Linked DNA regions of Daphnia pulex. The protein of the gene in region 1 interacts with the protein of each later gene in a pairwise test. Links are inferred from orthologs where the notes say so. Each region holds a gene or a part of one and is shown on either strand. Other genes may lie near its edges.

Region 1 (10,437 bases):
GTCCCGTTTTTTTTTTCTTTTCTGGCCGCCAACAAAATCATCATCATCATTCATCAGCCAAGATGATGGGGGCCAGTTTGAGAGGGGTTGAACGGAACTTTAAGTTGGATGGCTTCATCCAACTAGTTACTCATTAAAGAGGGCGACAGAAGCAACAACAAAAGCTGAAAAAAAGACACACGTCGTTTAAAAAATGAGGAACAAAAAAGAGTTCGTGATCGCAACTTAACTTTGGACCCTTTCGGCGTGATCGTGAAAGAAGAAGGAGAAGGAAAATAACGACGCCGATGCAAGACAATGAACCGATATGAACCCCGCAGGGTCCATCCACAAACCTTGAACTAAACCTTCCCCCTTTATTTTGTTCCCATCCAAACGTCTCAATTTAAAATGGAGAAGAGAAAAAACCCGAAAAAAGATATAAACAACTTTTCTTCTTCTTCTCCTTTGGTAATTTATTTAGGTAGAGATAGTAGCAACTAACGTTTTATAGAGGAATTTAAGTCGCTAATCTCTTTGTCTCTCCATCCATCTGACGGTATGCTGGCTTCATTATCTGAAGAAAACCGCCGGCTCCGCTACCAAGAGGAATTATCTCTTTGCCTGTTGTTGTGCGCTCGTAAATCGACCAACAAGAGAGAGGAAGCACTTTTGCTATACACCACTATACTTGCCACAGCTACAACACGTTTATGAAAATGCATTTTGAACTTACCATCTGCCGATTGTTGTTCCTTCGTCGGCTTTCTCAGTCCAGCAGCTCCATCCAATGGATTCCACAATCTTTTAAAAAACAAAAGAAAATAAAATGATTATTATTGGACAAACTCAATCAAAAAGAAATCGCATTCAAACTGTTTTGAAATTTCATTCGCTACGGTAATTGGAAGCTTAAAAGCTCGGCCATTTCAGTATTTCATCAAGGTGCGGTCGAGATGAATAGATCAACTTTAAACCCCCCAAAAAAAGGAGTGTGAAAAAGTGAAAACGAGAAAAACAATTTCAATTTGGAAACACAAAAAAACCAAAAGGATATAACAATAAAAAGCGAATAGGCCTAGAAGTGAGCCCCCCATCTTATAACCCCCTCTATAACCGATCGCCTATTTCCATGAAGTAGCCAGAGCCACTATATCCAGCCTACACATGAGAAACTATAAGGAGAATAGCCATTTCGGGGCGGTTTTATTTTTATTTTTACGATGATTTTTATGATATTGACTGGGTTTTTACTCCGCCGCTTCTGCTGCTGCTTCTTCTTCTTCCTTCTGCTGGTGCGGTGGTGTTATACAAGAGTCGTGAAAATAAAATAAAAAATAAATTGGGGAGAGAGAGAGAGTGAGTGAGGGAAAAGAAAAACCAGAACACACCAAAGTTTTCTCGTCTCTTGTCAAAATAAAAACGCGCACCGCTCGCGCTCATTTTCGCCTCTTTCTCTCACTGGAAATAGTCAAAAAAAAATTTTAACGATTATTTCCCCTCTCTCGAGTGACTCAAACTTTTATTTTATTTGTCTCTCCCCGTGTTGCGTCACACGCCATAAGACACTTGTCTAGCGGCAGTAATCTTTAAAGCTCTGCAACTTCTTAAAAACCAAAGGAAAAACAAAAGACAAACAAACAAAACGGTGCGCTATAAAGTGACAGACTGGCCACAACGACCACTTGAGGTCTTGTGCTCTAAGAGGGGAGGCTAAACAAATAAACAAAAAAAAACAACACGTAAAAAGCAAAAGAATAATAATAATAAAAAAACAAACGGCAAATAAAATAAAACGACGGTGTACATATTGAATGTAATGGCGTCCATTTCAGCCGCCGTGATGACTCTAAATAGCATAGTCGTTGATTCCTTGGCGAACGGTAGCGCTTGAAAAATAAAAGGGATAAAAGAAAGAAGAAGAAGAAAAAAGGGAACCGTCGTAAAGATGATGATGATGACGCCATCGACCATACAAGAAGAAGAAGAGAAAAGAGCCAGCCAAAGTTACACACACACACACACACATCCAGCAGCAGCAGCGGGGGGCTTTTTTCTGTGTTGAAGTATCTCGTTCGGGATAGGATCGTTTCGTCGAGTCTTTATATACACACAGACACTTGCACGGTGCCTGCCCTCATCAAAATGACCCTAATAACTTGATTGAATTGCGCATAAACATCAAGTCGAATAGGCCATCAAAAGCCCTCGGAAAAAAAAGAACCATCTCTTCTCTTCTAGCAGTGGCTCAGACTATATCACGGCCGGCTCTCGACACACCATAGAAAACGCGTGTAACACACACACACACACACACACATTTTTTATTATTATGATGATGATTATTTTGTGTTTGTGTTTCCTTTTTTTTTCTTTTAGTTTTGGTTACACCGTCGCCGTCGTCGTGATTGCTGAATCACATCCGATGTGTTTTATAGACAAACAACACAACTCCTGCCGCTGTGAAAATGGCCCATTGCTGATATTGTTATTGCCCATTTGGTGGTTTTGTTATAGAAACGGACGTTTTATTTATTTTTTTTCTTTCTTTCAACTCACACAACAATCAAGAAGAACTTATCCATCAATCCAAACGGGCAATTCAACACAACAACGGCCTTCACACAGCATTGGTTGACAAATAACGGCAGCAGCTCATTCCTGTTCATCATTTCCCAACGAGAGAAAGACACGAAGCAGAGAGAAAAAAACAAAAATACAGCGATAGCAATTGTAACTTGTAATTGTCTTGAATTTTCTTTTGGCATGACAAGATGCAATTGTAAAAAAAAGAGAAAATACAAGGAGTCATAGATTACTTTCTATATTTATTATTTTGTTTTTCCTTCCCCCTCAAATTAAAGTTGCTGCACTGAAAAAAATCAAATAAAACATAACCAGTGCGGGTTATGTAGGCCTCCCAAAATGTTTCAACTCAAATTCTTAACTCTCTCTCCGGCTGTATTCGAAGGCCGAATCCAAGTTGTAAAAAAAAATAGGGGGGACGACACATCCAGCAGACTTTGTGTGTAAGCTTAATACTACGTGTCTTATATTTTAGGCCTAGAAAAGCGACAAGAGTTTGAAAAAAGGGGGGGCTGGATAGCGGATCCCCACCAATATAACCCCTTGTATAAAATCTACCAAGAGAGCGAGAGAGAGAGTGGTGGTGGTATATTCATATATTGGATTCCTATGGGCCTTCCCTTAAGAGTTATACAATCTCTCCTGTTATTGGGAAAGAAACCTTTTTTCTTTCTTGTGTATTGCGCTGGATATATATAACCCCAAAAAGAAGAGAAGGATGGAACATAAAAATTGAAGGCAAGAAGAAGAAGAAGAAGGAAAGAAAAGGGACAGTCTTGGCGGCGGATAACTGCTCTAAAACGTAACCCTTATCTCTTTTCTCTTGGGTCTCCCCCCGAAAAAACAACCATGGGTTGGGCGCAACCGGCACATACACACACACACATAGTGCGCATACACACACACACCATATAGGCCCTGGCCAATTTTTATTTGGGGTGGGCATCCTCCTCTTCCCAATAAAACGCGGAGAAGAGCAAAGAAGCCAAAGAGTCGTAAAAAATGCATATCCCTTCTTTGACTCTGTGTGTCCTTCGACCCTTTTATACACGTATATATACATCTATCCTATCCGTGTGGCTATGCAAGAGGTCCCCCCCGATATCACCCGTTTTTCTTCCGACGCAACACCCGACTGACCCCCCAATTCTTCGCAATATAACCGTCACAGACTCACACAGCCGAAGACGAGGGGGTAAAAACTTCTCTAGCTGGAAAGAGGGGGTTATAAAAAAAAGAACGGCTGTAACAATTTCCTTCGGAGTATAACCCCAATAACATCTCCAGCATCTTTGTATAACTTTCCCCACCAGAAGAAGAACTGGAAGAAGAAATAGAAAAAAGGACACGCCACATTCTTGAGCGACTCCTCCTTGATCGGCCGTGGCATGTCCTTCTCACAATCACATCAGTTCCGACTCTGAGGCTTGACCGATCACAATGTTTTGAGCAGCTCGATCACAGAGACATTGTCCTTCAAAAAAATCAAAGTCAAAACCCGATCGAAAAAAAGTTTCGTTGCCCATTCCGTCCATCTGATGGACTCGCAGACAGTGGAGCGCTGTCCGTCCAGCAGCGCTTGACGACACAGTAGTTAGTTAATAGCTAGTCTCAATATATAACCCAGTCAGTGAGTTGGTGATCGTTCAGGTGCAACTAGAAAAAACCCAACAAAAAACAACAACGTTGGACATCCGAAAATATTTCGTCGCAATCATTATCGGCATCCATCCATCCATCCGTCTGGCTCCCACAAGTGCGGACCTTGTTACCTTTTTTCGTGCGTGTGTTGTGTGAGTGTGTGTCTGTGTTTCGAGGCCTCCAGAAAAGAAAAAATTGTTGAGGTAGTCGAGAGAGAGAGAAAGAAAGAGAGAAAGAGGAGTCGAAAATTGCGAGTTTCCTGTCTGTTGGTTGAGCGGAAAGTGCCGGGCCGATGACGACGCCGAAGGACGGCCATTTCCACGCCCGACGCCAACGGATTACGCAAACCGCGACTACTCCCTCCTCCTGCTCCGCCGCCGTCTTCTTCTCTCTTTCTCCTTATTTTATCGCTTCATTTCCACAAGAGATTCGGCAAAAGAAAACGCAACTAAGAGCCGCAAAAAGTCCTGGGTGAGTTCACAGTTCTTTTTATCCTCCTTTTAAAAAATAATTTCCCGCGCTAGTCATACATTAGCGAATAACCTTATCGCCAAACTCCGAGCGATTGGCACCGACCAATAGATTGACTCTCAAAACAGCAGTTGGATCGTCGATTTCAACACAGTTACAAATTTTTCAAAAACATTTTTTGGGTGGTTTTTAAAAGTTAAAAGGGACTCGGCGGCGATGTTCAAGGAGCCTCCCAGGAGTTGTAGGCCTAACGCTAAAGGCGGCGGTTCAAATGGCTAATAAAAAACTTTTAAAAAGCACTTTGTGACGAATTGTGCCCAACTGTTTACCCCAAAACACATTACAGGCCTATCATTCTTCACCATTTTCTCTCTCTCGAAAAGTCAACTAACGATATACTATATATTTGTTGATTCAATTTGTTGGTATCGAGAATAACCGCTGAAACGCTTCGAAAGATCATTAGGAGCCCCCCTCACCGAAATAGGCCTAAAGGTCACCGTATAGGATATACTATCTAGTCTGCGCATACATGTAGCCTACTAAAAACCGACTTGGATAAATCATTCTTGGTAATAGCAGCAAGCCAGCACACGCGTATTGATGATTGTTTTACTTTTTATTTTATTTTTTCCCGGGGAATAACGAAGAAAACAAACTGCGGTCGATGTTTTTTTTTTGTTTTTGTTTTTTTCTCTTCTTCTTCCTCCGTTCGTGACTATTGGTGCGAGTTTTTTTTTTGGGAAGCCAGCGTCGGCATAACGAAGTATTTATCCCTTTTTATTTTTTTGCCCGTCTTTCCTTTCTTCTCCAACTTCTCTCCCAGTGACTTTCGGTTGGTGTCGACTCACGACGCCCAAATTACGTGTGTAGATTAGAGAAGAGACGACACACAAACAGACAAACACAGACACAGCGGCGCGCAAAGTCAAGCCAAGTATGCCGCGTGAATGTTATATAGGACCGGACGGGGTGGAGCGGCGGCCGCAAGAGAAGAAGAAAAAAACCAAACCAAACAAAAATGACTCCAGTAGAGTGAAAAGAGAGCGCCCAGCAACGTCGACGGCTATACTAAAACCTACACTTCTCTATACGCATAAGAAATATCAGTAATATGTAATTTAGTCAGAGCTGCTGCTGCTGCTGCTGGCTGCCCAATTTCTTGCCGTCTTTACGCACAAGTCGCGTTTCGTAACAACATTACACAACGGCGGCGGCGGCGGTTCCATTTCCCACACACGGCCCCAACAGTCCGTGTTTTCTTTTTCCTTCTCATTTAAATGACCAAATAAATAAATACATGTTGACTGAAATGTATATCCACATCGCGATGTGCATATATACTCGAGTAGTATACATACAGCCAGAGAAATATGCGTGTTAATGCTTCCAGTATATACATACGTACGTATATATACTACATATACTCAGAGCGTACGAATATAATCATGATAATTATCTGGGCGTCGTCGACTTCTTCTTCTTCAGTTCGGTGGCTTCGACGTGGTGGTGTTTGTCTACTCTACGACATCTAATACAGAAATCTTATAGCTACTGCCTAGCCAGCCCATAACTACACATGTGTACAGTTGGGATATATACTTGCTAGTGGCCTACTATTTCTACCATTTCCGCCGAAGCTCGCTAGCTCTCAATGACTGCACTGTTTATTCTTCTTCTTCTTGTATAGTTCCTCACATCCGGCGCGTGAGGTCGGGAGGGGGGATATGCTATCTGGAAAATGTTATACATAACGTCAAACTGAAATCATAATAATCATAATCATAATAATAATAGGCCGTATACTAAATACATAAAATATAATGAATTGCGGGGGCCGTGATCAGGGCTGCGTGAAGCTGCCGGGACACGCGGAAAATAGAAAAGAAAAAAAAACAAGAGTCCCATAGCTATGGGAGCCGAGTAGAAGGCAGAAGACGAGAGTTCCGTTCCGCAGATATAACTACGGATGGTTTCCTTGTCTCCATAAATATTTCCCAAGTCGAAAGAAACAGAGGAAGGAGTCGGAAGAGAAAGAAGAAGAAGAGCTAGGGCGATCTATCGGATGCTGCTGGCAGCAAATCAAGAAGACGACGGCGACGACGTACAGTAGTAGTGTAGTAGCACTTTGGATGACTGCCATAACACAAAGTGAAATACTTTTGTAGACATCACCGTAGGCTCAAACTGGGAAAATCTATATTTATTCAAGGATTCACATCATTTTGTTTTAAAAAAAAAAAAGAAAAGTCATGAGACAAAAATTTACAAGATTTGGACAGGAAAAAAACAAAAGTGCCGGGCGCTATATGGAAAGGTTATTCGTTTTAAGGTTGTGACCCCCTTCGAAAAAATAAAAGGTGGTCATCGATATAAACTATCTTGGATAGAGGGGATACCTTGTAACTCTAATTTCAAATTGTTTTACTAGCTATCGGCTTTTGTTTTTTTTATGGCCTCCCTTCGATTGAACCGAGAAGTTGCGTCTGATTGTGTCCTGAGCGAGAGTCGGTGAGGTACTCTCATGAGCGCCAAAGGACTCAAGGACGAAAGAGATTGTCAAAAAAGGGAAAAAATCCTTCATCCTCGAGTCTGGGACACAAACACAGGTCTGCTGCCTATTCATTTATTTATAAGCTCGCTCAGATTCTAGAGTGCGCATAATAGTCTAATATACAAAGTTATACTGCTATCAGAGAAGTAGGATACCTATAGGCCTATTTTCGATCCTCCCTTTCCAGAACACCCTTGACATGGGAGAGCCAACAAAATAGGGGGTCCCTTTCGCTATAGTGTCGAGGCTCTGCACGTCAAAGCTCCGCCCATCGCCGGCAATAGCGCAGCCAATAAAAAGAGGGATAACGGCAGCAGTAATGGCCGCCGAGAAGCCGCCGCCGCCGCCGCTGCCGCCCAGCATTTTTCTTTTTCTTTTTTCGCCGTGTTGGCCCGAAAAGAAGAAGAAGAAGAGAGCCAAGAAGAGATTCTGCTGCTGGCACGGCCTATATATATACACACACACACACATCCTCTATGAATTTAGAAAAGAAAACGCGCGCTGTGCTCGACCGCAATAAATCACCACGCCAGCTAACAAACATGCAGACACACTCAAGTCCCGACTGAATAGAAAATGAATAATTTTTTCTTCTTCTTCTTCTACGAGAGAAGAAGAAATTTCTTAGCTGGTATTCTCTCTCTCCATAGCAGATGCTTCTTCTTCTTGTCTGTTCCCAAAGGGGGGAAAAACAACTCCCTTTTTCTTTCTTTTTTTGAGATTTTGATTGGATGAACCCCAAAAAGTGATTTATTCACAATCAGTTTACTCTCTCTCTCTCTTGAAAAAAAAAAAAAATTGGATGGATGACGCAAGAACTAAATCAACCGAACCCGGCGCATAGAGAAATTAAAGGCATCTATACTACACAGCTTACACTGAGTGAGAGACCATGACGGTTGAAAATCATTGCACGGTTAAGTTACTCATGGATATAACCCTACCCCCCTCTTACACTGGGTACGGCCGCGTGCGTTTTTTTTTATAGGTATATAGGTGTATATGTGGCGGCATTGTTACTCGACTGGCCGCCTGAGTTGTTTGTACACACACCGGTGGATATATACTCCACTGCCGAAGCTCTTTTTTTATTTTTTTAATAGAGTCATTAAGGCTCCATATAAAGGAATAAGAAGAAAAACGGTCGGCGGAGCAAGAAGAAGAAGAAGAAGTTAAAAAAAAAAAAAAAAACGCGCGCGCACAACGAGACAAATAATAATAACAATGATAATAATCATCATCATTATCAACACAATCATAAAAAAAAAGAACGAGCCGAGCCCGGAATCGATGGGGAATCGAGCGCCGGTAGGCGGGTACTCACGAAATGACCACCCTCCTCCTTTATTACGAAAACAACAAAATTCGTCGAATTTCTTTAGACACAAGGAACCCCGAAAAAATAAATAAATAAAAAATAAACTCAAAGACAAACTGACCCGAGGAGCCAAAGCTGGCCAACAAGAAAAAGAAGACATTATCGCCTCCTATGTTATCATTTTCTCCCACTCGGGAGAATTTTAGTTTGTAATTTCCGTGTTGTTTGTGCGCCCTTTTTTCTTCTTTTTTTCGTAAATGAAGTAGCAAGCGCGTAATGAAGCGATCCGCTTTCATAGTCTCTCAACGACGCGATTGCACGCCAGTCATCCCATCCGAGCCGGGCAAACAACCAACGGACGCGTATACAACATCAGTATATACCGACGGCTAGTTGTTGTAATTACAAAGGAGAAATGCGCGTGGTGGTGGACTATATGGTGGTGCCCGCAAGTGCTCATTCAGATTGGATTGCACTGTGTGTGTGTGATATTGCCGGCCGTTCGTATTTTCCCCTTCGCCTTTGGCCAGTAGGAAGAGAAGAAGGGGGAACAGAAAACGGGCAAGATATTATTAAGGGCGCTAGATGAGCGCGTGGCCGTGTATGTGTGTGCAACATACTAGTCGTTGCGGCGGCCATTTTGGACGCTATTACACGCCCCGCCCTGACTGTTTTCCCTCCGACTCTTGTATAGTAGTAGCGGTGCTGGTCTAGCCCAAGTGGTGGTGGTGGTAAGAGCAGTTTCAGTCCCTAGTAGTGGCCCCCCTCCATAGTCCAGAGCCAAGCAGGAGAGACGGCCGTCCGTCCTATAGTTACATCTGGCGCCGCGGCCCCAATAGGACGCAATTCTTGACTTGTGTGACTGGTCGAATAGCCGACGCAGCAGGAAAACAAAAAGAAAAAGAAAAAATAAGAAGAACAAATCAACTCCGCGACATCTTATTATTACCGAAATTACAACAGCGACAGCAAAATCAGAGCGGTAAGGAGCCAAACAATCAATACAAGTTTTGTTTTGTTTAATTGAATTAGCGTAGTTCATTGACGAAAACAGTTGTTGCCCAGTTATCCGTGTCATTACTATAGATATGATGGCTCATCGTTAAACGTGTAAGATTGTCGTGTAAAAAAAGATTCGAGTTGATTGCCTATATAACCTAACGGGTCTACATAAGGCGGCCGCCCCCTTAATTTTTTCCAAACGGTCCATAAAAATCCCGAAAATATGGGGAACCTTGCTGCTACTGCCACTGCTTTTGATGGCCATCAAACAGCGTGCGCCTCTCCATCTCTTATTCAGTTTTTTGTTTTTTGTTTCTCTCCTCTCATCTTTTTGATGGCCACTTCTAACCGTCACTTTTTCTTTTTAAAAGCCAGTCAAGAAAAGAATTCCGCCATCGCATATAAATAGCTCCACAATTGTCAGACAAAACGAGCCGTTTCTACGTCGATTATCTGGCAATTTATAGACAGGGTAGACTCGACTTGAATACAATCGCATTCGTAAAAATAAAAATGGCCGCACAAACTTGTTGCCTGTTTTTATTTTATTGTTTTTTGGCTTCAAAAGGGATTGATTCGAGGAGTCGCATCAAACGGAAAAAAAGAGGCACTAACGTTGAAAAGAAAACAAGCTGCATTTCTTCCTCAAACAGCAGAGATAAATAAATCCGAGCCAATGTTCTTCTTCTTGTACGACTCTCGGCGAAACGTCGTACATCATTCAAGAGTTTCTTCTTTCCGTCCCCACCACCTTTCCCGACACCTGCAGGGTTTTTATGAACTATTAAATGCGCGTTTTGTGGCTTTTTAATGATTATTGCGCTATTCCTTCCTTTAAGTACCCTTTGTGTATCCTTGAGTTATACAACGTCAAGACCCGTCGCCA
Region 2 (10,479 bases), on another chromosome or scaffold:
TTGGAAACCGGAGAAACCGGAATTGTTTTAGAAGAAGTTTTCGGGGGGACCAACTTGATTGGGGAATAAATATTTCTTTTTTTTAAATATTTATTTTAAAAGCTGCTGAGTTGAGTGACGGCCGAGTGTCGACTGCTGGACTCCACCTCTGATATTCTTTGCCCGGCTTTTGCGTCTCTCACCTCTTTGTCTCTGTCTGTCTAAAGCGTTGCCCGTGAAAAACCCCTGTGAAAACATTTCTCTGAATAATACACACGAAACTTATTCTAATCATCATCTCCCCTCTCCGCTGCTGGCCCGGCTGCTCAACGGCATTTTGACAACGACAAACAACACAACAACATGTAAGAAGAGAGAAAACAACAAGCTCCAAAATGCCCATCGGGACCAAACAAATGGACCTCCCAATCAGGAAATGGGCTATCGGAAAACCTGGCCAGCAGCAGAGTGTCCGTGCACGATTGTGCGGACGCGGACATACTCTCCCATTAATTATTTGAACGAAAAAAAATAGTAATAATAAGTCGGGGTTTTTTCTCGTTGTTTTATATTTTATTTTATTTATTTATTTGTTTGTTTTATTTGTTTTTTCTTCTTCCAGGGTTTTTAATATTTTTTCCCTGCCCATGTTTTGTTTCTTTTATTTTCTTTCGTGAACACCAGCAAGCCGGTGAACCTGCACGCGCGTTTCTGCAATTAAGTGACCGAGTACGCCGGACCGGAGAGATAGAGAGAGAGACCCATAGAAGCGCGGTCCGAATCCAAATGCGGTTAAGGCATTCCTCCTTTTATTTTATTTTATTTTTCTTGTGTGTGTTTCTTTCTTTCTTTCTGGGTTTTTTTTTTTGTCTTGTTTGTTCTTTTTAATGGATGGTATCCATTGAGAATTTACGGCAACACCGGAATGAGTATATGGTCAATAACCAATTGGCGTGGATTATAACCGCCGGGGTAATAAAAATACACGCACACAACAGCAGCCAACAGCCAGCGAAAGAGAAACGAAATAACACACACGTACGTACGTACGTACACACTTGTAGAAATGAGAAACAAAAGGTGAAAAAAATAAATAAATCGCCGTTGGAGGTGGACGTTGGATTCCATCGTTGGATGGTGTACTGGCGGCCATTTACTTGCACGCAAGGTGTAGAGTACACAAACGATGAATGCAGCTTAGCTAATAGAAAGGGGGGCTGGTTATACTATTACGTGTATCATCGAGTCGGTGAACTGGATAAAAAGCCGCGCTTCCGGATGGATGGGAAACGGCCGACATCGTTATCCTCGTTATTCCCGAATGTTTTGCATATTCCCAGTTGACACTGGGAACAAATTTTGACGGGGAAAAGAATTGGGAACAACAACAACAACAACAGAAAAAAAGGGAACGGCAATTGGTTGGTTAAGAAAACTCAGCTGCAGTTCTCTCTCCTCATTTGGATGCGGCCATTTCCTTTTCTATTCCGAGTTGATTATTATCCCGGGCCAATTGTTGTTGTTGTTGTTGTTGTCGCTGTCGGCCATGCACAGAGAGAGAAAGAGCATCGCCGTCCATACAATTCCCTTCAAAAGGACAAATAATAGCGAAGCTTACAAATAATCCAAAATGAATCGAGGCGGAGATGATGGAACAACCCCAAAAGAGAAAATCAAAATGTACAATTGCCCGGCTCCTTTTCTATCTCTTCCAACACATTCATTTTTTTTAATATTTTGGGTTGTTGTATTATATTTTAAATAATATTTTTTCTCTCTCTTATTTTCCAGGCTGCTGGCGTATAAGAGAATGAACATAAGGAAAAAATAAAAGAACTGAAAAGAAAAAGAGAATGAGAGAGGAAATATATAGAGCCTCCCCCGGTGGGAGGACGACCGACGAGGGCACTTGTTGCCTGGCAGAGAAAAAAAAAAGTCAAATAACAAAAGAAATACCCGAAGAAAAAATATAAAAAAATATATATTTGTACATAAGAATTGTGGTGTGGTGAACGGGCCAGACAGCTTGGCACCGGCAGAGTGTGTGTGTGGATTCCCGCGCCGCCCCGATGGCAAAACTTCTTCACACACAAGCACCACCAAACATATAAGAGTGTCGAGGGAGAACCAACAACATGTGAAGAAGGTGGGAGAAAGAAAAAAAAAGGAGGTGGTTGGTGGTTGTGTGAGGAGAGCCCCACCAGCCTATATCTATCTACACCTCTCTACCTACTACCTACTGCCTAACGTCTACACATATTCGACTATAACCCTCACGGTGGGGCGTCCGTTGTGTTGCGCGCTGGCCCTCTGTGTAACATCATTAGCGTTTTTCATTAAATCTGTCGACTTGTTGCTGCCAGCCATTTTCCCCTACCCTACCGCTTTTTATATCGACTTGATACACCTCAACTATACACACTAGTGCGGGTAATACAGTTGGGGAAAAGAAAAAAAAGACAATTTTGATATTATAATAATTATTATAAGCTTCGATGAATGATTCGCGGGGTCGCAAGTTTTCTTCCGGGTGTTATGGATCTATGGGCCAACTATACACGTCAAATAGAAAAAGAAAAGATTTGATCAAGGAGGTCGGGTGATGAGAGAAATGGACGCACCGAGTGGCTGCCAGCATCACAGCATCTCTCTCTTTTTTAATATCTTTCTCCTACCATGTATCTGACTCGCTTTTGGGTCTGCTTTATACACTTTAACAGTCACTTAATCATCCTGTTTTTCTTCTTCTTATATGGCTGCTGCTGCTGCTGCTGGATCTCTTCTAAAATGGATGGAATAAGCGGCCTCTGGTGTTGTTCAACAACAAGCCGACTGGGAATTGTCCGAATAAGCCATCAAACTCCGAAATCTTGTTCTTGATGAGAGAGAGATAGTGTACCGGCCGATGAATAAGAAAACAAAAATAAAAATAAAAAATATACGTACGCGTTGGTTTGAACTCGACTTGAGAGAGATAGGAGTTCTCCTGCTGCTGCTGCTGCTGCCATCCTTCCCATAATCTCGATGAAGACGGGTTTATATATGTGTATATTCCTCTTTTGACTCGATCCGCCCAGCAGCAGCAGCAGCCGACGCTATAAATTATCTCTTAATCAATGTCCTGGCACACCTTTTGGTGTAGTACAACATAACCAGATCCCCCCCTTAACACCTCATCATCTTCTTCTCTCTTTCGGCCCAGGCAATTAGCCTACTGTGCACGAGATTGGAAGACATGCCACTATGCCGCCCACGGGCCAGCAAGCACTCTCGGCCGTCGGTAATCATTTCATCAAAGCTGCAAGTCTCATCATCATCTTCCATGGCTTCCGTTGAAATAACCAACTTGAAAAAAATTAAAAAATTTCTAAACTCGATTGGAATTCCTTTGAAACGGCACAACCCCCAACGATTCAGTTTAAAAGTTGAAATGAAATAAAGTAAACTCAAAAGACGTTTGGATTTTAGTTTGTTTTTTCAACACGCTTTGTAATTGATCTGAGATGACACGCATATCCATTTGTTTGGGGAGAGGGAGGAGTTTGAATGAATAATATCGTTATAAATTATGTACAAGTACAGTGGCAACTGAATAGGTAGACTCTATCAACTTTGTCTTTGCAAATACGTACAGGAGACACACACACAGACGCGAGGGAGCACATTTACTTGCATTTCTCAAATATAACATTGAACTCGGGGATATAATAATAGAACTGGTTCAAGACGCGGAAACCATATAATTCAAGAGTTTGGTTTGATAATTAGGATGAAGAGGTGAGGAGAGATTGGAGAGCAGACTCGAATTGAATTAGCCATTCGGATCAAGACTTTGATCTTCTTGAATAGGAGACGCAATTCAATGTACAAAAATGGACAGGAAGTAGCTCGAACCCAGCCATCCGGTATTACATATGTATAAGTTAACCAAGACCGCAAGCGGCCAAGTCAATTATGTGTGTGTCAACTGGGTCATTTTGGTGATGTCCGTCGCGTCATGACGGATTTTTCTAGCTGGTCCTGGAGATCAATGGCGGCGAGGTGGGAGTGGCGGCCAGCGGTGAGGTCGAGCTGGAACGGGCTAACTGCTGCTGCTGCTGCTGGGGAGAGACGGACGGTGGTAGGCCCATGCCCATCAGTCCCGTGTTGAAACGGAGGTGATGGCCCTGGCCGTAAAAATCGGCGTAGGCGGCCGCCTGTTGCAACAGCGGATGGCCTAGCATGCCGAAAGGCGAGCTGCCCATGGCCTGCTGCGAGCTGGGCGGCATGGCCGAGTGGCGGACGGGCGAGTCGGAAGTGGCCGAGCCCAGCAGCCGCTCAACCGAGAAGCTGTGCGCCGGGTGGTGGTGGTGGTGAGCTGGCGGAGTCGAGACGATCGAGCCCATCTTGTTGTTGCCGGCCAACGGCGAGCTGAAGCCGCCGCCCAGAGCTGTTGGCACTTGCGACGGATGGTGGGCCGACGGATGGCTGCCCGGATGGGCCAGGAGATTGCCGTAGCCGGCCGAGGCCGCGTAACCCACCGCCGTGCTATAGCGATACAAAGCGGCCGCCGAATTGCAGAGCGAAGCGGCCAGACCGGGCCAGGCTCCCGTCGGCGTCGAGTAAGGATGATGCGGATGCTGGCCTACCGATCCCGGATGATGGGCCGAATTGGGAGCCACCGGGTGGAATCCAGCGGCGGCCGCCATGCCGGGATGGACGGGCGGCATGCCAGGGAAGCCGGCCAACGACGGGAAACCGAAACTGCGCTTGAAAGCGGCCAATCGGGACCTGGAAGCTGCGGTGGATCTCCTGCGCAATTTGCCGGTGGTGCCACCGATGAAGACGTCGTCGCTGGACGGATCGAGCATCCAGTAGTTGCCCTTGCCCGGGTCGTCGTAGTGGCGTGGCACCTTGACGAAGCACTTGTTGAGCGACAAATTGTGGCGGATGGAATTCTGCCAGCCCTGCTTGTTGTCCCGGTAATACGGAAAGTTCTTCATGATGAACTCGTAGATGCCGTTGAGGGTCAGACGCTTTTCGGCGCTGCTCCGGATGGCCATCATGATCAGGGCGTTGTAGGAGAACGGAGGCTTCTCATTCTTCTTGGACTTTTCGTCTTGGCCGTCCTTTTTATTGCTGCTGGAACTCTTGCTGGACGTCTTGGTCGGCCCATCCGCACATTCTTCGTCGCCCGTTTCACCTTTGACGCCCTTGTGGCTCTTGCTGGACGGCTTGTCGGCTTTGTTGTTGCCTCCGCCTCCGCTGCTCAGGTTGATGGTGCTGGACGACTCTGAGGAGCAGTTGAGATCCTTGAGACTGGCCTCCTCTTCGCTCTCGTCGGAGCGCAACGGACTGACGGCCTCCATGCCCTCGACGTCCAGGTCCTGCTCCTCGTCGGTGTAGACGTCGTCCACTTCGCTGTTGTCACTGTACACGTTCTCCTTCATGGCCGTCGAGGAGGTGGACGAGTCGGGCCGGTGCTGCTGCTGTTGCTGGTGGTGCAGGTACGGGGCCGTCTCGTGGTGACGGTGGTGGACGGCCGTTTCCGGCAGGAGAGACAAAATGGAGAAGGACGGCGGAGCGCGGGCCATGGCCGGTTGTGGCAGAGATTGGGGGCCCTCCACTTTGACCATCTTACCACTGCTGCTGCCCGTCGTCGTCGTCGTCCTGGGAGTGCTGGGATCAGAAGCCAGTTCGAGAAGCGAGTCCAGCGTTTCGCTAACGGCCTTTGCTGCCTCTCGATGCTGGACACAAAATTCAATAACGATGGCACTTTTGCTGTTGAAAAAAACTAAACTTGGTCGCAAGTTCACACTTGTAGTCTGGGCAGAGATGCGAATGTGACGGACAGCTGTCAGTTATTAATAACAACCCGAATTGACGGATGGCAACAACAACAACTGGCCAAAATTTGAGATAAAGGTCAATAGTTGACAACTGCTGAGAGAGAGGAAATAAAAACCAAAACTTTGCTGGGCAACGAAACAAGAAGAGTACGTCTGTCCTGATCAGCGCTGGCTAGCCGAATAATGTCCACACCACAGATGGGCTCCCAGTTTTAATGTTTGGCCAGGTGGGCGGGACCTAAAGTTCTTTTTTGGTGGGGCTGGTTGTGTGTTGTTGGTCTTTGGCCAGGGTCGTCTTTAAGACTCGCCCCCCTTTTCGTTCTCGCTGGATGGAAGGAGACCATTCCGGCGGCCGGTCCGGCTCCTCCCACCATCATGGCAGCCGCCAATGAAGCTCCGGCTGGGGGCGGAGCGTTCGCTCGAACGGAAAGGGGAGGTTCCCTGTTTTATTTTTATTTTATTTTCTGGTTTGTTCCCACAGATGCGGAGGAGAGAGAAAAATTGCTGGGCCGTCGCCCGTCGGGGTATGTACAGGAAAAATAAGAGCCCCCCGACGTGAAACATCTTCATACTCTTATTGTTGTTGTCTACACACACACACTGTGTGTATACGTGTATAGACGCGTTAGAAAGCTCCATGTTCCAGGACACACCTCCCTCCCCTCGTTTACACTTTCCATCCATCCATCCATCCATCCTTGCTCCTATACGTGTTTTTGTTGTGTGGCTATTTTATCCTATCCATAGTGTACACATTCAGACGTCTCTATACTTGGCACGGCTATAGATGCGGAGTAGGTGTACACACACACATTTGGCTCTCCTCTATGCCGTACAACATTGACAAATATTTTCTAATATTTTGAGACGAGGTTCCAACGGCATTTTCCACTCGGTTTCCCAGAGGTTTTTTTTGTATTTGTATTTTTCTTTCTTTTGACTTTTTTCTCTCTCCCCATCATTCTTATAAATCCCATCAGTGCGATCAAAGCTGGATGCCTTTTCAGATTTTTATTTTTATTTTGTTAAGTTGGCGTCAATTGTCTTATGACTTTGAAATTGAATGAATGACGTGTCTGTATTCCGTTTGAACTTTCGGCATCAATTGGCATCGTTTCGTCAATTGCACAGCTGGAAAAACAGAAATAAATAAATCAAGAGAATAGAAAATGATTGTGAGCTGGAGAATGAAACTGGAACCGGTTAAACCGACGGGCGCCCTTTCACGTTGATTGTTGAGTCGAATTAAAAGTGTTGGAGAGAAAAGAGCCAGTGGTGGAAAAGAATTGGATTTTTTTCCTTTTTTCTTTCTCACATGGCCGACTCACAGTCCCCCCACCCTTGACTTATTTAATTTAATTAAACTAAAACTTATTTCCTCAACTTATTCCCTTGTCGTTTTTAAGCAGTTTGGATTTTGATTTTTGATCATAAAATTCTAATTACTAATCGATATTTTATTATCGTAAGCATGACTAATTAGAATAAAATTCGTCTGCTCTTGTTGAGTTGAAAATTTCGGGAAGACAAAGCAGAGACAAAGTTTAAGCATGGTTCAAGATTTCTTTTAGAGCCTATATTTCTTTTTGATAACTGTTATACTCCGTGCTGTTAAGCGGGTAAAAAATACTAAGAATACTATTACAATGATTGTGGAAGCTATAGAAGAGATAAACCAGTTCCAAATTTGTTAATTGTTAGTTCTGACTAGCATTTGCCATGTGATTGCCCTGTTGATGCATGGCAGTTTGTTGTACTATGTAACCCTTTTTTCTTTTTTTACAGATTTGAGACCAGAGCCATCATGACTACACAATTTGCAAGTTTTTCTTGGGCAGGTATTGGCAACCTGTCACCAGCAACAATCTCAGGTTAATCGATTGGGTAATGATTTTCGTTACTTTTTCCTGTGACCTGCCACATATTTGAATGATGCATGACTTGCATCAATGCAGTGTGTTAAATTTAAACCTTAAATTCTTCCATTTATTAACAATCAAGGTTTACCCATCAGTGTTTCATTTTCATCTTTACCTGACTTGTTGTTTCAATATTTATTCGTAACCCATTTTTTATTTTTCATTCAGATAAACAGCATCCCCTTCAATTGGAGAAACGTCCGTTGTCAATTGAGTTATGGATCTCTCTAACTCTTTCTTCAAAATGTGTTGTGTACGCCCATGTGAATGTGGGTGTATTCACGAGGGACACCCTTTTTACCCTATCCCGTCTGGTGTCATTTAACTCTTCATCGGATGGATGGAGCAACTGAAGTAGATGCCTGGCTGTATTTCCCAGGCACAAAGGTAGGAGACAAAATTGATCTCTATTTTTCTTTTTTGGCGGTTTTTGGTGGGGTTGGTTATAAATCGTTACGTAGTCACAGACTATGTTTCTTCCTGAGCTATAGGCGGTTGACTCTTGACTGCAACTGTTTTCTCTCCGTTTTTGTTTTTTTTCTCAGTCAGGGTTCACTAAAAATCTCATTAGTCGAACGACTGCAGATCAGGCTTGTTTTGTTTTGTACCTCACAACTTTTTCTGTGGGTAGAAAACCATCACATTTGAAAATATTTGAATTTTAAACACTTGAAGGAAAGTGCAATGTTCAAAACAATTTTTTTACCGAGAGGAGCCTGCCGCCACACCGGTACCTCCTCATTTTTTATTCCCGTGCATATTCCCATACATCCACAAGATATAAAATGCATGTTGAAGTGATCATCTCGGCGGAGGAAATCATGCATCCGCTTTGTGTGAGCTCAAAACTCTCCCTCTTGTATTATAGTTGGCTCGGTGTGTGCTGGCCGATTTGTCCTTGTGACAAACCGCAGGCCGAATAATAAAAAGAAAAAAGAGGGTAGACACACACACACACATAGACTATAGAAAATAGAAGAAGAAGAAAAAAAAGCATAATGGCGGAAATTCATCGTCCCCTAAAGGTTCTTGGATATGCAGCAGGGGGTTTTTATATAAATGTCCTGGTGTGTTTTTGATTCCAGCTTTTTTGTTGTGGAAGGTACACACACATATACATATACTAGCTCTCTCTCTATGTTGTGTGTACGTGTATTTTTTTGTCCCTGGTCTGAGGGTGCTGAAGCATGCAACCATATTGCAACCCCCTTTTTTCTGTCCTTTTTTCTTTCGTTGCACAAATTCTACAGGCCCGCCGATAAGAATGGAGGATTAAACGTTGTTTAGTCTGCTGTACACATATCCTGGCCAATGAAGATCTGGTTCCGTTTTTCCCTACTGTTTTTTCCCCCATATATATAGTCTACTGTACACGGTGTTTGTTCACTTTGTATTGAATAAGCGCTGACTCTGTGACTCTGATCTGCCCAGTAGCCGGCCATATTGCGTATGTATGTAGTATACAGACGGATACTGGTGGTAGAGAGTCCCTTGGTTCGCATGGTTGACTCTTCTTTTGATATGAGTACAAGTCAACCCCGCAGTTGGGGTTATTATACACATCCGCACCGAGATGTGGAGAAGAGAGAAGAAGGAAGAAGTTGAAAAGAAGAGGTCCTCTTCTTCTTCTTCTTCTGATTTTTGTCTGAATGGTTTTTCTTCTTCCAGGTCAGAAACCACGCGGCGTGTACAAACGACGCTGCCATTGTCGCCCTATACACACAGTTGTGTTCACTCGTGAGATCTTTTTTTCTCTTTTTTGATTCTCTGCTCGTTCCACTCGCGCGCACGCAGGAGAAGAGACGGACAGAGAGAAGCTCAAATCGGCCTAGATCACTTGACTGTTGTTGTGTGTGTATACGGCCACTCTCCTTTTTGTCCCCTACTGGAACTCGTTCAATTGTTGTCCGATTATATTCTCCTCTTTTGCAGTGCTGCTCAGCACAGCTCGCTGAATGTTTGAGGCCTTTTGCCGGAATCAAAAGAAGATTGATTTCTCTACTATTGGATGATGGCTTCCTCTCTTTTTTGAACCCCCAGTTTTTATTCTGTCGACCCCCCTTCAATGTCTATATTTGCTATAAGTTGAAAATTCTTACAGCTCTATATATTCATGGCTGGTCGCTCTGCTCTGTGTTCACACTTATGCCGGCCAGTCAGTTTGACGATGGATCTGAATGGATTTCCGCCCTGGTCAAAATTTAAAAATATAACGACCCGGACTTTTCCAAGTCATAAACAAATTCACATTACATAGTATGATGGGCGTGATAAATCCTTTGGAAAAGTCGTGCGCGTCTAAGATTTGAATCGATTATTAGAAGGCGGATATTATCACAACTGGACGTTTCAGTTCAAATGTCTCCATCTCAAAGTTTGGTCCCCTTTTCTGATAGTCATCTCGACCAGTGTGTGTCAGCTGTTTACCAACGTCTAAACTATACACACACACAGACACAATGTCTTGATGTAGATCCTCCACTAAGGCTATCGTTTTTCAATTTCACCGACACTGCGCTACTCAAGAGAAAAAGACGTTCTCTCCGCTTTTTGCCGCTGAGGTTCAAACGAGTGACAACTCCAACAGAGTCAACCCAGAAAGAAAAACCAGTGGATAGGAAGAGCCAGCAGCTGATTAAACGATGTGACGGTTTTTGGGATAGAGCAGCATCACCAAAAGGGGGGCGCGGTCTTCTTTCTTTCTTTCCCCAGTTGGTGTGTGTTTGTCTCTTGGTGAAACGCGATCTAATCTT

Evidence for each region.
Region 2: the proteins of homeotic protein ultrabithorax-like (region 1) and fork head domain transcription factor slp2-like interact in a protein complementation assay, tested with the Drosophila melanogaster proteins (2 studies listed by BioGRID). The link is inferred for Daphnia pulex from reciprocal best matches to the Drosophila melanogaster genes Ubx and slp2.

Annotation. Positions count from the first base shown.
Region 1 is NC_060024.1:12,332,521-12,342,957, forward strand, and holds the start of homeotic protein ultrabithorax-like, read left to right. Parts: upstream 1-3,917; 5' UTR 3,918-4,677; intron 4,678-9,256; exon of another isoform or gene 9,257-9,531; intron 9,532-10,437. UniProt on the Drosophila melanogaster protein: Sequence-specific transcription factor which is part of a developmental regulatory system that provides cells with specific positional identities on the anterior-posterior axis. Binds the consensus region 5'-TTAAT[GT][GA]-3'.
Region 2 is NC_060021.1:10,365,221-10,375,699, forward strand, and holds fork head domain transcription factor slp2-like, read right to left. Parts: upstream 5,991-10,479; 5' UTR 5,595-5,990; coding exon 3,990-5,594; 3' UTR 3,447-3,989; downstream 1-3,446. UniProt on the Drosophila melanogaster protein: Transcription factor involved in segmentation. May function primarily as a segment polarity gene. Different levels of slp activity seem to be required in different segments.